3 linked regions of the Macaca fascicularis genome follow. The protein of the gene in region 2 interacts with the protein of the main gene of each other region in a pairwise test. Links are inferred from orthologs where the notes say so. Each region holds a gene or a part of one and is shown on either strand. Other genes may lie near its edges.

The links.
Region 1: the proteins of TRAF3IP1 (region 2) and KIF5A interact in a two-hybrid assay, tested with the Homo sapiens proteins (2 studies listed by IntAct). The link is inferred for Macaca fascicularis from reciprocal best matches to the Homo sapiens genes TRAF3IP1 and KIF5A.
Region 3: the proteins of TRAF3IP1 (region 2) and FRMD4A interact in a two-hybrid assay, tested with the Homo sapiens proteins (2 studies listed by BioGRID and IntAct). The link is inferred for Macaca fascicularis from reciprocal best matches to the Homo sapiens genes TRAF3IP1 and FRMD4A.

Annotation. Positions count from the first base shown.
Region 1 is NC_088385.1:64,384,631-64,388,277, reverse strand, and holds part of KIF5A (kinesin heavy chain), read right to left. Parts: intron 1,988-3,647; coding exon 1,799-1,987; intron 1,417-1,798; coding exon 1,299-1,416; intron 970-1,298; coding exon 905-969; intron 788-904; coding exon 678-787; intron 300-677; coding exon 198-299; intron 1-197. UniProt on the Homo sapiens protein: Microtubule-dependent motor required for slow axonal transport of neurofilament proteins (NFH, NFM and NFL). Can induce formation of neurite-like membrane protrusions in non-neuronal cells in a ZFYVE27-dependent manner.
Region 2 is NC_088386.1:134,234,949-134,238,695, forward strand, and holds the start of TRAF3IP1 (TRAF3-interacting protein 1), read left to right. Parts: upstream 1-1,137; 5' UTR 1,138-1,293; coding exon 1,294-1,416; exon of another isoform or gene 1,417-1,444; intron 1,445-3,747.
Region 3 is NC_088383.1:14,582,664-14,586,310, forward strand, and holds part of FRMD4A (FERM domain-containing protein 4A), read right to left. Parts: coding exon 3,161-3,647; intron 2,473-3,160; exon of another isoform or gene 2,013-2,472; intron 1,089-2,012; coding exon 992-1,088; exon of another isoform or gene 929-991; intron 1-928. UniProt on the Homo sapiens protein: Scaffolding protein that regulates epithelial cell polarity by connecting ARF6 activation with the PAR3 complex. Plays a redundant role with FRMD4B in epithelial polarization. May regulate MAPT secretion by activating ARF6-signaling.

The sequences.
Region 1 (3,647 bases), on a different chromosome or scaffold from region 2:
ACCTCCTTCCATACTGTGAATACTCAACGGCAGTCATTGCTGAGAGTGTCCTTTTTGTTCCTTCCCTACCCCATCATATTTTTCCCACGAGTCACCCCATCATGTCTGCGTGTGTATCCTGCCTCTGCAAGCATGTCTGAGTTCGCAGTTCTGAGCCTACAAGGCTGTGGGCTTACAGGCAAATCCATGCCACTCACGTCAGCTCCTGCAGCTTGGTGCTCTTCTCATGTTCTTCACTCTTCAGCTTCTCGTAGTCAGCCTGAAGCTTCTCTAGCTCTAACTGGAGCTTCTGATTTAGGCTACAGAGCATCAGGAGGTAATGGAGAGGGGGGGAAAAAGATGTTAATGAGGGGGAAGGGAAGACCAGCTCTTCAAACATCTTCCTTCTTGAACGAGTCCAGTTAGAATTGATGTGTCCAGTTTCAGATACCAGGGGCAGACTCAGGCCACCATCTCCATGACAGAGCCAGGAACCCTGACCTCTCTAACCCTGGGAGCCTCAAGGATAGGGACTAGTCCTTATTCCATGTATCTCCTGAGGTGGGGCTACAAAGTTGTGGCATTGTTGAGGGAATGACACACGGATGTTAAAGAATCAGATCCAGAGGGGACATGTGAGTTGGCACAGCAAGGTGACAGGACTGGGAGGGGCTGGAGTCGCCCTTGGGAACCCTTACTCTTTGAGCTCATCAATGGTCTTCTGCTTCTCGTTGATCTCATCCCGGAGCCGGGCCAACTGCCGGTGATGGGCCTCCCGGTGACTCTCCATCTGCAGCTCCAGAGCCTTCTGCAAACAATCCCACCCCAAGCTCAAAGGCCAGACTCCCAGAAACAAGCTCTGTGAGAGCCAGCACAGCTTTCACCACACCAGGCCCCAACTATCCCTGACACCTTCCCCACTCACCTTCACTTCATCTGCATCCTGGGTATCAGGTTCCTTGTCCTTCAGGGCCACTTCATGCACAGTTTCTAAGGGAAAGAGGGGAAGACACCTGACATCAAACCTACTTCTTTCAGAAAGAACTTCATGTTGTGACCAGAACTCCGGGAAGGACTGGGGATGGGCCCACAGGGGTGTTCTTCTGTGTTAGGACTGTCCAATTTGATATAGCAGGAACAGAGAACAAGGGTGTATGGTTCATGTAAAATGAGCTACATGCAAAATCTTGGCTAATATATGAGTTGGCATCCATGATTTCAAGCTAATGCTTTGAGTGAGTGATCACTGGGGTGATTTCTTTTGATGTTTCTGACTTCTCTGCCCTGGATGGTGGGATGGAGGAGTAAGAAGGCCTCACCCTGGGCCTGGAGCTTGGCCAGCTCGTCACTCAAGGAGTCATAAGACTCTTCCAGGTGCCGCTTCTTTAGCTCCACGCTCTGCATGTATTCCGTAAGTGAGCGGATCTTGGCCTCGTGCTGGTGGGAGAAAGTTGGTGAGAGGAAGAAGATGGAGCAAAGAACACAACTCCAGGCCGCACAGATCTCCAACCCCAGCTCTGCTCGCAGCCCTCCCTCCTGCTACACTTCCTATGAGGGTGCAGGGTTGGGGGCCATTCCTATGGGGCTCTTCCTTTAGCTCCCTTGGCTCAGGAGGCAGTACCCGCCCTGAGCCTTTACTTTTTTGGCCCTGATCTGCACCCCTGCCACCCCAGCTTTTCTGTCCTTGCTTTCACTTGACCCTAGAACTTTGACCCCAGAACTTTTGACACCCACCTGGGTGTTAGGAGTTTTAGCCATAACCCCAGAGTAGCCTTCTTTCTCCCATGGCATCTGAAGGTTCTCAAACTTAGGCACTCACCTGAGAGATGAGGAGCTGGCAGGATGAGAGCTCCCGCCCAGTCACTTCCATCTTGCGGTGACATTCCACCTGGAGGTTCTCCAGCTGCCGGCACCGCTTGACCACAGACTTGACTTCTGACTTGATTTTGCTGATGTAGAGTCGGGCCACAGTGAACTCCTCCTCGATGGCCCCACTGATCTCCACTGGCTAAGGGTGAGTAAAGGAGGAAGAGATGCTTCTTGGCTGCTGGGAAGCTTTATCCGTTCCCTCCCACCTTTTACCTACCCACACACACCCACGTATGCAGGGACTCAAATGGGATTGGTATTTTCCAAACGACCTTTAGCAGCTCTCTATCACTGGCATTTCACGTTAAATTCCTCTGCCCGCATTTAAAAATCCAAGTCTGTCTGGGTGCAGTAGCTCACGCCTGTAATCCCAGCACTTTGGGAGGCCGAGGTGGGTGGATCACCTTGAGGTCAGGAGTTCAAGACCAGCCTGGCCAAAATGGTGGTGAAATCCTGTCTCTACTAAAAATACAAAATTAGCCAGGCATCATGGCACATGTCTGTAATCCCAGCTACTCAAGAGGCTGAGGCAGGAGAATCGCTTGAACCCAGGAGGCGGAGGTTGCAGTGAACTGAGATCACCACTGCACTCTAGCCTGGGCGACAGAGTGAGACTCCATCTCAAAAAAAAAATTCAATTCTGGGCTGGGCTCAGTGGCTCATGCCTGTAATCCCAGCACTTTGGGAGGCCGAAGTGGGTGGACTACAAGGTCAGGAGTTCGAGAACAGCCTGGCCAATATGGTGAAACCCTGTCTCTACTAAAAATACAAAAAATTAGCCGGGAGTGGTGGTGTGTGCCTGTAGTCCCAGCTACTAGGGAGGCTGAGGCAGGAGAATTACTTGAACTGAGGTGGCGGAGGTTGCAGTGAGCCAAGATAACACCACTGCACTTCAGCCTGGCCAACAGAGCAAGACTCTGTCTCAAAAAAAAAAAAAAAAAAAAAAATCCAATTCTGACAGTCCCCCACTTATAAATAAATCTTATAAAGCAACATGATTTTATTTTGATCTGCTCAATCACCCAGATTATTCTCACACCCACAGATTTGCATATTTCATTCTTAACTCTGTATCTATGCCCCACCTCTAACTGCTGCTGTAAACACTGCTCTGTTGCTACTTCTTTTTATTATTATTATTATTTTTTTTTTTGAGACGCAGTCTCGCTCTGTTGCCCAGGCTGGAGTGCAGCGGTGCATCTCTGCTCACTGCAAGCTCCGCCTCCCGGGTTCACGCCATTCTCCTGCCTCAGTCTCCTGCGTAGCTGGGACTACAGACACCCGCCACCATGCCCGGCTAATTTTTTGTATTTTTTTAGTAGAGACGGGGTTTCACTGTGTTAGCCAGTATGGTCTCGATCTCCTGACCTCGTGATCAGCCCACCTTGGCCTCCCAATTATTATTATTATTATTTTTTTGAGATGGAGTTTCGCTCTTGTTGCCCAGGCTGGAGTGCAGTGGTGTGATCTCGGCTCACTGCAACCTCTGCCTCCCGGGTTCAAGCGATTCCCCTGCCTCAGCCTCCCAAGTAGCTGGGATTACACGCATGAGTCACCACACCTGGCTAATTTTGTATTTTTAGTAGACACAGGGTTTCTCCATGTTGGTCAGGCTGGTCTCGAACTCCTGACCTCAGGTGATCTGCCCGCCTCGGCTCCCAAAGTGCTGGGATTACAGGCGTGAGTCACCGTGTACAGCCTCATTTTTTTTTTTTTTTTTTTTTTTAAGACAGGGTCTGGCTCTGTCACCCAGGCTGGAGTGCAGTAGCTCAATCATGGCTCACTGCAGCCTCAACCTC
Region 2 (3,747 bases):
GAGGTTGCAGTGAGCCAAGATCGCGCCACTGCACTCCAGCCTGGAGGACAGTCAGACTCCATCTCAAAACAAACAAACAAACAAACAAAAAAGGCTGGGCGCGATGGCTCAAGCCTGTAATCCTAGCACTTTGGGAGGCCGAGGCGGGCGGATCACGAGGTCAGGAGATCGAGACCATCCTGACTAACAACGGTGAAACCCGTCTCTACTAAAAATACAAAAAAAAAAAAAAAAAAAAAAGAATTAGCCGGGCGAGGTGGCAGGCGCCTGTAGTCCCAGCTACTCCAGAGGCTGAGGCAGGAGAATGGCGTGAACCCAGGAGACGGAGCTTGCAGTGAGCCGAGATAGTGCCACTGCACTCAAGCCTGGGCGACAGAGCGAGACTCCGCCTCAAAAAAAAAAAAAAAAAAAAAAAAAAGAGTTATAACGGTGTTCATAAGAAGAACTACAGACCCCAGAGCTCTCAAATCGCTGGAAGGACTTCTGCGGTGGGCCTGTGCATGATGCACAGAGGACAGGTGGGAAAGAATCACAGACACCTAGTAAGACAACGGGGCATGGCTTTGTCCCGGTTTCAGAGCACCGACACATTTAGTCACCATTTACCTTCCTGGGAGGTAGATTAGGCAGGGGGCACACTAGCCCTGCTTTGTAGGAACAGAAGTAGAGTCTCAGAGAAAACAAGTGACTTGCCCAAGAAGCCTTATTAAGTACCAGCCAGGACAGTGTATTTTCTATTCCTTGTGTTTTGGGATAACTTAGTACCGTCCCCTCCGATGAACCAGTGCCTGCAAAAGCCCTTGAGATCTGGGAAACAGGAGGCACAGATCTTGGAGTTTACCTTGTTCTTAATCAGTCCTCAGGCAGTCGCCTCTAACGCGAGCGAATACCCGCTTCCCGAGGCCGTCACTGGGCAGAGGAGGGGCCAGGCTCCGGATCCCAGATCCCCTTTCCCCGCCCCGCCGTGCCACGCCTGCGCGGGCACGGCCGCCCGCCCCCAAACCCCTCCCGCGGAACCCGCAATCCTGCCTGCGCGGGCGCGGGACTGCGGGCAGGGGGAGGGGCATCGCGGCGCGTCCGTTGCTAAGGCCGCGCAGCCCTAGCGACCGAACGCCCTGCGGCGGCCGCGCAGGCGCTGTGGTGGGCTCCGGTGCACTGTGGGATGGAAACCGGAGCGGCGCGTCCTGGCGGGACCGGGCGGCGGCGGCGGGGCCGGCGGCGGCCAGGGACCCGGGCTTAGGCTCGGCCGGGCCGGCTGAGGACGCAGGCGGCCAGCGGGCGGCGGGCGCCGTCATGAACGCGGCGGTGGTGAGGCGGACGCAGGAGGCGCTGGGGAAGGTGATACGGAGGCCGCCGCTGACAGAGAAGCTGCTGAGCAAGCCCCCGTTCCGCTACCTGCACGACATCATCACGGAGGTGGGCGCCGGGTTCCGGGCCCGGCCAGGTGCGGGTCGGGGTTCCGGTGGGCGCCGAGGTCAGGGCCCAGGCCGGGTGGCGCCGGGTGCGAGCCGGGCTCGGGCTCAGGTGCGGGTGGGGGGCCGGGGCTGGGCCAGAGTCGGGGCCCGGGCCGGGTGTGAACCCGGTGTGGGCCGAGCTCGAGGTGCAGGTCGGGGACCCGGTCAGCGCCGAGTGTGAACCGAGTGTGGGCCGGGCTCAGGGTGCAGGTCAGGGGCCGGGTTAGGGCCGAGTGTGGACCGGGTGTGGGCCGGGCTCGGGGTGCAGGTCGGGGACTGGTTCAGGGCCGGGTGTGGGCCGGGCGCAGGGTGCGGGTCGGGGACCGGGGTGAGTTCCGGGGTCGGGGCGAGAGCTCTGTGCGGCCCCTGCCCGGGAGCCCGGCCTGTAGGCCCAATTCCGCGGCGCCCTCCACGCGGAGGTCCTGCCCCTCCCCCGGCTCCGGGCCGCCGCTTACAGGGAGGCTCCGGGCCCTCGGGGACCATTACTTCTTCCCTGCCTACCGTGTGTCTCCTTAGTGCATCTTCCATTCTGCCTGGCAGAGCTGCTTCTGTGACTCCCACCTCATCTAACCCTGCAGAACCCTTCTCACTTTCCCTGAAGCATTTAGCACGTGAAAGGCTAAATCCTGGGAGAATGGAAATAATATTTTTTATACAGCCTTCTGCCCCGAAGTTTCCCTCCATACCACATTTTGGGTGCTTAATAAATGCCTGTGGGTGAATTTAGTGGAGGTGGTGGTAGGGAGACTTGGCAGGAAAAACTAACAGAGCAGCACACCCTGCCCTAAATTGAGATTGGTGGTCTCTGTAGCTTTTCCCCATTTGCAGATGGTGTGCTCCTCAGTGACGGAGACCCTGGCTTGCTTATTAGTATGGCTCTGGTGATCTGCAGTGGGTAAGGTACATAGAAATTGCACAACAAACATCCCCTGTTGAGTGGGACCTGTCAAGGCTTGTGGTAACTCCCTGGTAACTCTTAGGAGCGTCACTGCGGGGGTTGCAGCACCCATTTCCATGGTGGACCCAAGGGCACGTGGGAACTCAGAGGTGTGTTTTGGGATTTAGGATTCAGGTTGGACTTGCAGACTTCCAGGGCCTCATGACCTCACCTGGTGATGGTCCTCAAGCTCTGTTTCTCACTCTTTTCAACAGATTGGGTGCCTTATTCTTGCACAGACTTTGCTTTACTGGGTCTGCCCTCCTACCTTAGCTTAAACTTGTGGGCTGGAGCGTGTGCCTCTGTGTTAAAACAGTGCCTAAAAATGCTCTCGAATCCACCCACATCCCGAGGCACTGCCAGCCCTGGTCACGTCCTCCCAGCTGGTGCAGCACTTACAGCCTGTCCTGGACAGTGTGTGGGGAGGGGACCTGCTGTGTGGATAGCCCGGTGGGAGCGGAACAGTGTGCCGCATCACCACTGTCCCATGAAATAGGCAGGTACCCGTCCTCTGACCGAGAGGGAACAAGAGCCAATGTGAGCCCAGCCAGCTATAGCTGTGGCTGCCAAAACCTTTATTCTCCCAGTCCTGTCTGCCCCACTGAAATGCAGAGCCCTGAAATGCAGAGGGAGGTGCAGGGAGTGTGCCTTATCCTTGTGGGGCAGTAGTGGCGCTCAGCTCACGGTGGCTGTCCAGTCACTACCACATGGTTGGTCAGAGGCATCCTAATGGGAGAGGAGGAAGAATATGGGCTGGGTGCTGTGGCTCACGCCTGTAATCCCAGCACTCTGGGAGGCCAAGGCGGGCCGATCACTTGAGCCCAGGTGTTCAAGACCAGCCTGGCCAACATGGCAAAACTCCATCTCTACTGAGAATACAAAAATTAGCTGAATGTGGTGGTGCACCTGTAATCCCAGCTACTCAGGAGGCTGAGTAGGGAAGATTGCTTGAGCCTGGAAGGTTGAGGCTGCAGTGAGCCGTGATTGTACCACTGCACTCCAGCCTGGGTGACAGAGTAAGACCCTGTCTCAAAAAAAAAAAAAAAAAAAAAAAAGGGGATTGCTTTCCTGGCCAGGTAGATAGGGTGCGTGGAACGAGCTGCGTGTTCCCAATTAGGAACTACTGGTCTGCTCTTCTCCCATAGACTTCCTCATCTAATGCCAAAGTTGATTTCTGTCCCTGTGTAAAGATAAATAAATTGTCACCTACTTGATAAAGATGTTAGAATGACTGACACATTGGAAAGGATTTTCAGATAATAGATGGGGAGCCTCTCATGAAAATGCCTTGCTGTCCTGAATATTATACACAAATTACTATATTAGTATTTTAGCTATAGCTAAACTAACCACCCC
Region 3 (3,647 bases), on a different chromosome or scaffold from region 2:
TGAGGCAGGAGAATCACTTGAACCGTGGAGGTTGCAGAGAGCTGATATTGTACCACTGCACTGCAGTCTGGGCAACAGAGTGAGACTCCATCTCAAAAAAAAAAAAAACGGCCAAGTATGAGAGCCTGAAAGGCAGGCATTAGAGCCAATTCTGGAATTGTGCTTTTCTCATGATTCAACTCACAGCCAGTTGTCAGATTTTCCCAGACATCCCCCTGATGCTCCACCAAACCAGGAACCAGACAAACCGAGGAAGGGGACTCCTTACTCCTCTAACCAACAGATGTTGACAGAACCTAACATCTACTTAGAGTGATGTCTCAGGGGCAACAGAAGAGGCAGGTGCTGTAGGGCCAGGTGGGTTACCTGTGTCTGCCAGACCCTCCACTAGGTCAGAACAGCCTCACTGGCCCCGAGATGATAATGCTGTAGGCGAACTCGTCAGGCTATCAAAAGAGCCGCCTGTCGGTTTCATTTATTTTGCTGTGTACAGCTTCCGCTGAAGGCTTCAGGGCGCCTGATCTCCTTTGTGTGTTGATAAAGAGCAAGTGCTTGGCCACGACATAGCCTTTTTTCTTGCATCCTGAGACATCCTAAGACAGTGGCCGTTTCACCTGCCTCTCAGGGTATTTGCTGTCTTCAGCTCTCTTTCTCCCCCTGACATTCGTGCCTGGGTACAATCCCAACTGAAATCAAATGCTGTCTGGAAATCTGACCAAAGCAGCACAGTCCCACTTCCTGCTTCCATCTCCCCACATCCCAAGGACCACCGTCTACTTTAAGAGAACACAGACAATTCACCTCTATAAAGGCACAGCCAGGGAAAGGAGTAGGCAGAGATGACAGCGGATCATGGGACTTCTCTTGAAGACACTTCCCAGTGACGAACGCTCATCGTCCATTTACTGACTTATCCTTATGTCACTAGGATCTGAATATCTACAACACTCTTTCGAGCTGACACAGTGAAGAACATGGAAGGAGAACTCACCCAGTCTGCCAGGTTAGGATGTGGTGGGGGCTGCTTGGGGGAGTGGCTCCAATTTCACTTGACGGTGTTGAGCTTCTCTGGCTTTGAGGTAAGGCAGCTATATGCAGGTGGTGCAAGAAAGGCAGAGAGCAGACAGGGATCAGACATAGGTGGAGGAGCTTGTGACCTGTTGGCCGACACCAACCCAGTGGCCAGAGGTCACCATTTCCAGGGATACTGGAAAGGACCCCAGGGCAGGGTCTTGGCATCCCTATGGCATGGTCACAGTGGGGAACCATCTCTGCATCCCACCAATTCTATTTTCTCCCCACTACCATGCACCTTCATTCTGAGTCAAGTTGACCTGGGATCCTAGGTCCCCACTTTGCCACCAGGAAGTGGCCATAGGGATGGTGACAGCTTCAACAGCAGCAAAGAACCTGATGTCCACATAGTCCTTTGAGTGAGACCTGAGCAGGGCTCATACAGGGATGACATATTTCTCTGGCCCCAGGGCATTTTCAGTGTAGCCCCATTGTGAAATTGTTTCTCTCCATTGTGAAGAGAGGGCATCCACAAAGGTTCTCAGAGCCTGTTCTCTCTGCTGTTTCAGGCTTATCATTGCTACTGTAGTACAGTTTGAAGGGAGCAGGGCTTTTAGGGCTTTTAATAGCTCATCCAAACCTGAGCACTAGGCATTTATTGATGTAGGCAGTATGGAAGTCCAGTTGGAAAGATTTAGTAGGAAGTCAATCCTACTTAAATGCATCCTTTGCTTTTTTGGTAATGGAATGTTTTCCATCAGTAAACCTCAAATACAGCTTCTTAAAAATTTTAGTCTAAAATATGTTCCAAAAGATCTACCTAATCTCTTTACATAAAGCAAATCTACTAGACAAGTGCTGCAATTTTGATAGAACATGAACCCTCCTGTTTGGAGATATTTACAACACATTGGTTCTTAATCTAATAGGGTCACAGATGATCATACTCAAGATCTTCCTGGGGAGTCAATGGCAAATTTCACTGGGCTATTTTACAGGTGAAGAAGGAGCATAAAGAAGGTTCTAGGACCTTGAAGTCCACGGAACACCCACTATTGCCTGATCTCTGGAGCTTGTCATTTGGCCAATGGACCCTAATAAACATGTCCACCAGGATGTGGGGATAGAATGCCGGAGCCTGGCTCACCTGGGCAGCCAGGTTCTTCCTCTTTGCCCTGCTGTCTCCAGGCACCAAGAATTTCCTCCAGTTCCCCAAAGATGAACCCCCCCATTATCTCAGGTCACTGTTTCCCCTGATCTTTGCCAAATTCCTGACTCAGAGTTCCTCCCATTTGCTTCTGACTCTCATTTTATTCTTACAATGTTTACCATTTCTGTTCTTCTCAGTGTCCCTCTCTGAGTGGTAAGAATATGTTAATAAGCCAGTGCTGTAACCAGAGCACAAGGCAATTGCTCATGTTGGTCAGTGTCACTGTTATTAAATGTAACTTAAAGGAATGGGTGGTTTCTTCCATTTTTTTTTTAAACTTGATTCAATACCACCCAATGCTCTTGACTACAAGAATATGAGGGAAATTTTCAGACATACCATCAAGGATATTAAAGACACTTAACAAAAATATAGTTTGTGGCTGTGGCGTATCATCATCGAAAAGGGAAAGCCAGGAGCAGTCAAGAATTCTGTCAAACGCCCAGCTCTGGCACTCTGGTTATTAGCCAGTCTGCCCCCATCTGGGGAGACACTGGCCAAATCTTTAGACTTGACCCAAGCCCATCCCCAACCCAGTTTCCTTTGCAAGCTGCAGCTGTGGGCTTTCACTGGAATACTCTCCTCACTAGGGTAAAAGACTCACCTTTGGTTGGATAAACCCGGAGACATTACCTAAGTTTCTTAGATTTCTGTCCTTACAAGGAGAAATGGGGGGGCTGGCCCAGTGTACTCTGGAGGATCAAGTGCACCCTTACATGCAAGATTAGGGTAAGAACAGGGCGGGGGCGGGGTGGGGGGTCAACAAAGGCCTGAAAGACCTCAAGTCTCCCGCATCTGACAGCAGGGTTCCCAGAATTAATGACACTCGTTCCTCACTGCACCCAATTCTAAGGGTACCTCCCGGCAGCAGCCCTTGACACCAGCGAGCAGTTCGCCCCCAGGCCTTCCCACGTGCGCCCGGCCGCCCCTTCTCACCTGACGTGGCCTTGCACATCTGGGGCATCCTGGTGACCCTGCTGTGCGCCACGAAGGTGCTCTGGGAGGAGGTGCTGTACTGCGAGCCGCTGTCTGAGGAGGTGGAGCTGGTGTGCGACAGGCGGCTGTGCTCCTTGTGCGAGGCGGTGGAACGCTGGTACCACTGGCGCAGCTCGTCTGAGACGGCAGCACGGCCCGCGCCCTTGTCGTGGGCACCCTCGCGGCCCAGCGACGGAGTCCGCAGGATCTGCGATCGCGACGGCGTCAGGCGGCCCGTGTCGCCTTCGTCGCCGCCGCCGCCACCGCGCCAGCTCTCCTTGAACAGGCCGCCCGCCGTGTAGGAGTTGGAGGTCTTGAACTGAGCCTTGACGCTGTAGTGGCCCTCCTGGTCGCTCTCCAGGCTGCGCACCACCACGGGCGTGGCGCCGCCCTCGATGTACAGCGGGTACTCCTTGATGCGGTACTGCGAGCTGGGCTGGCTCTGGCT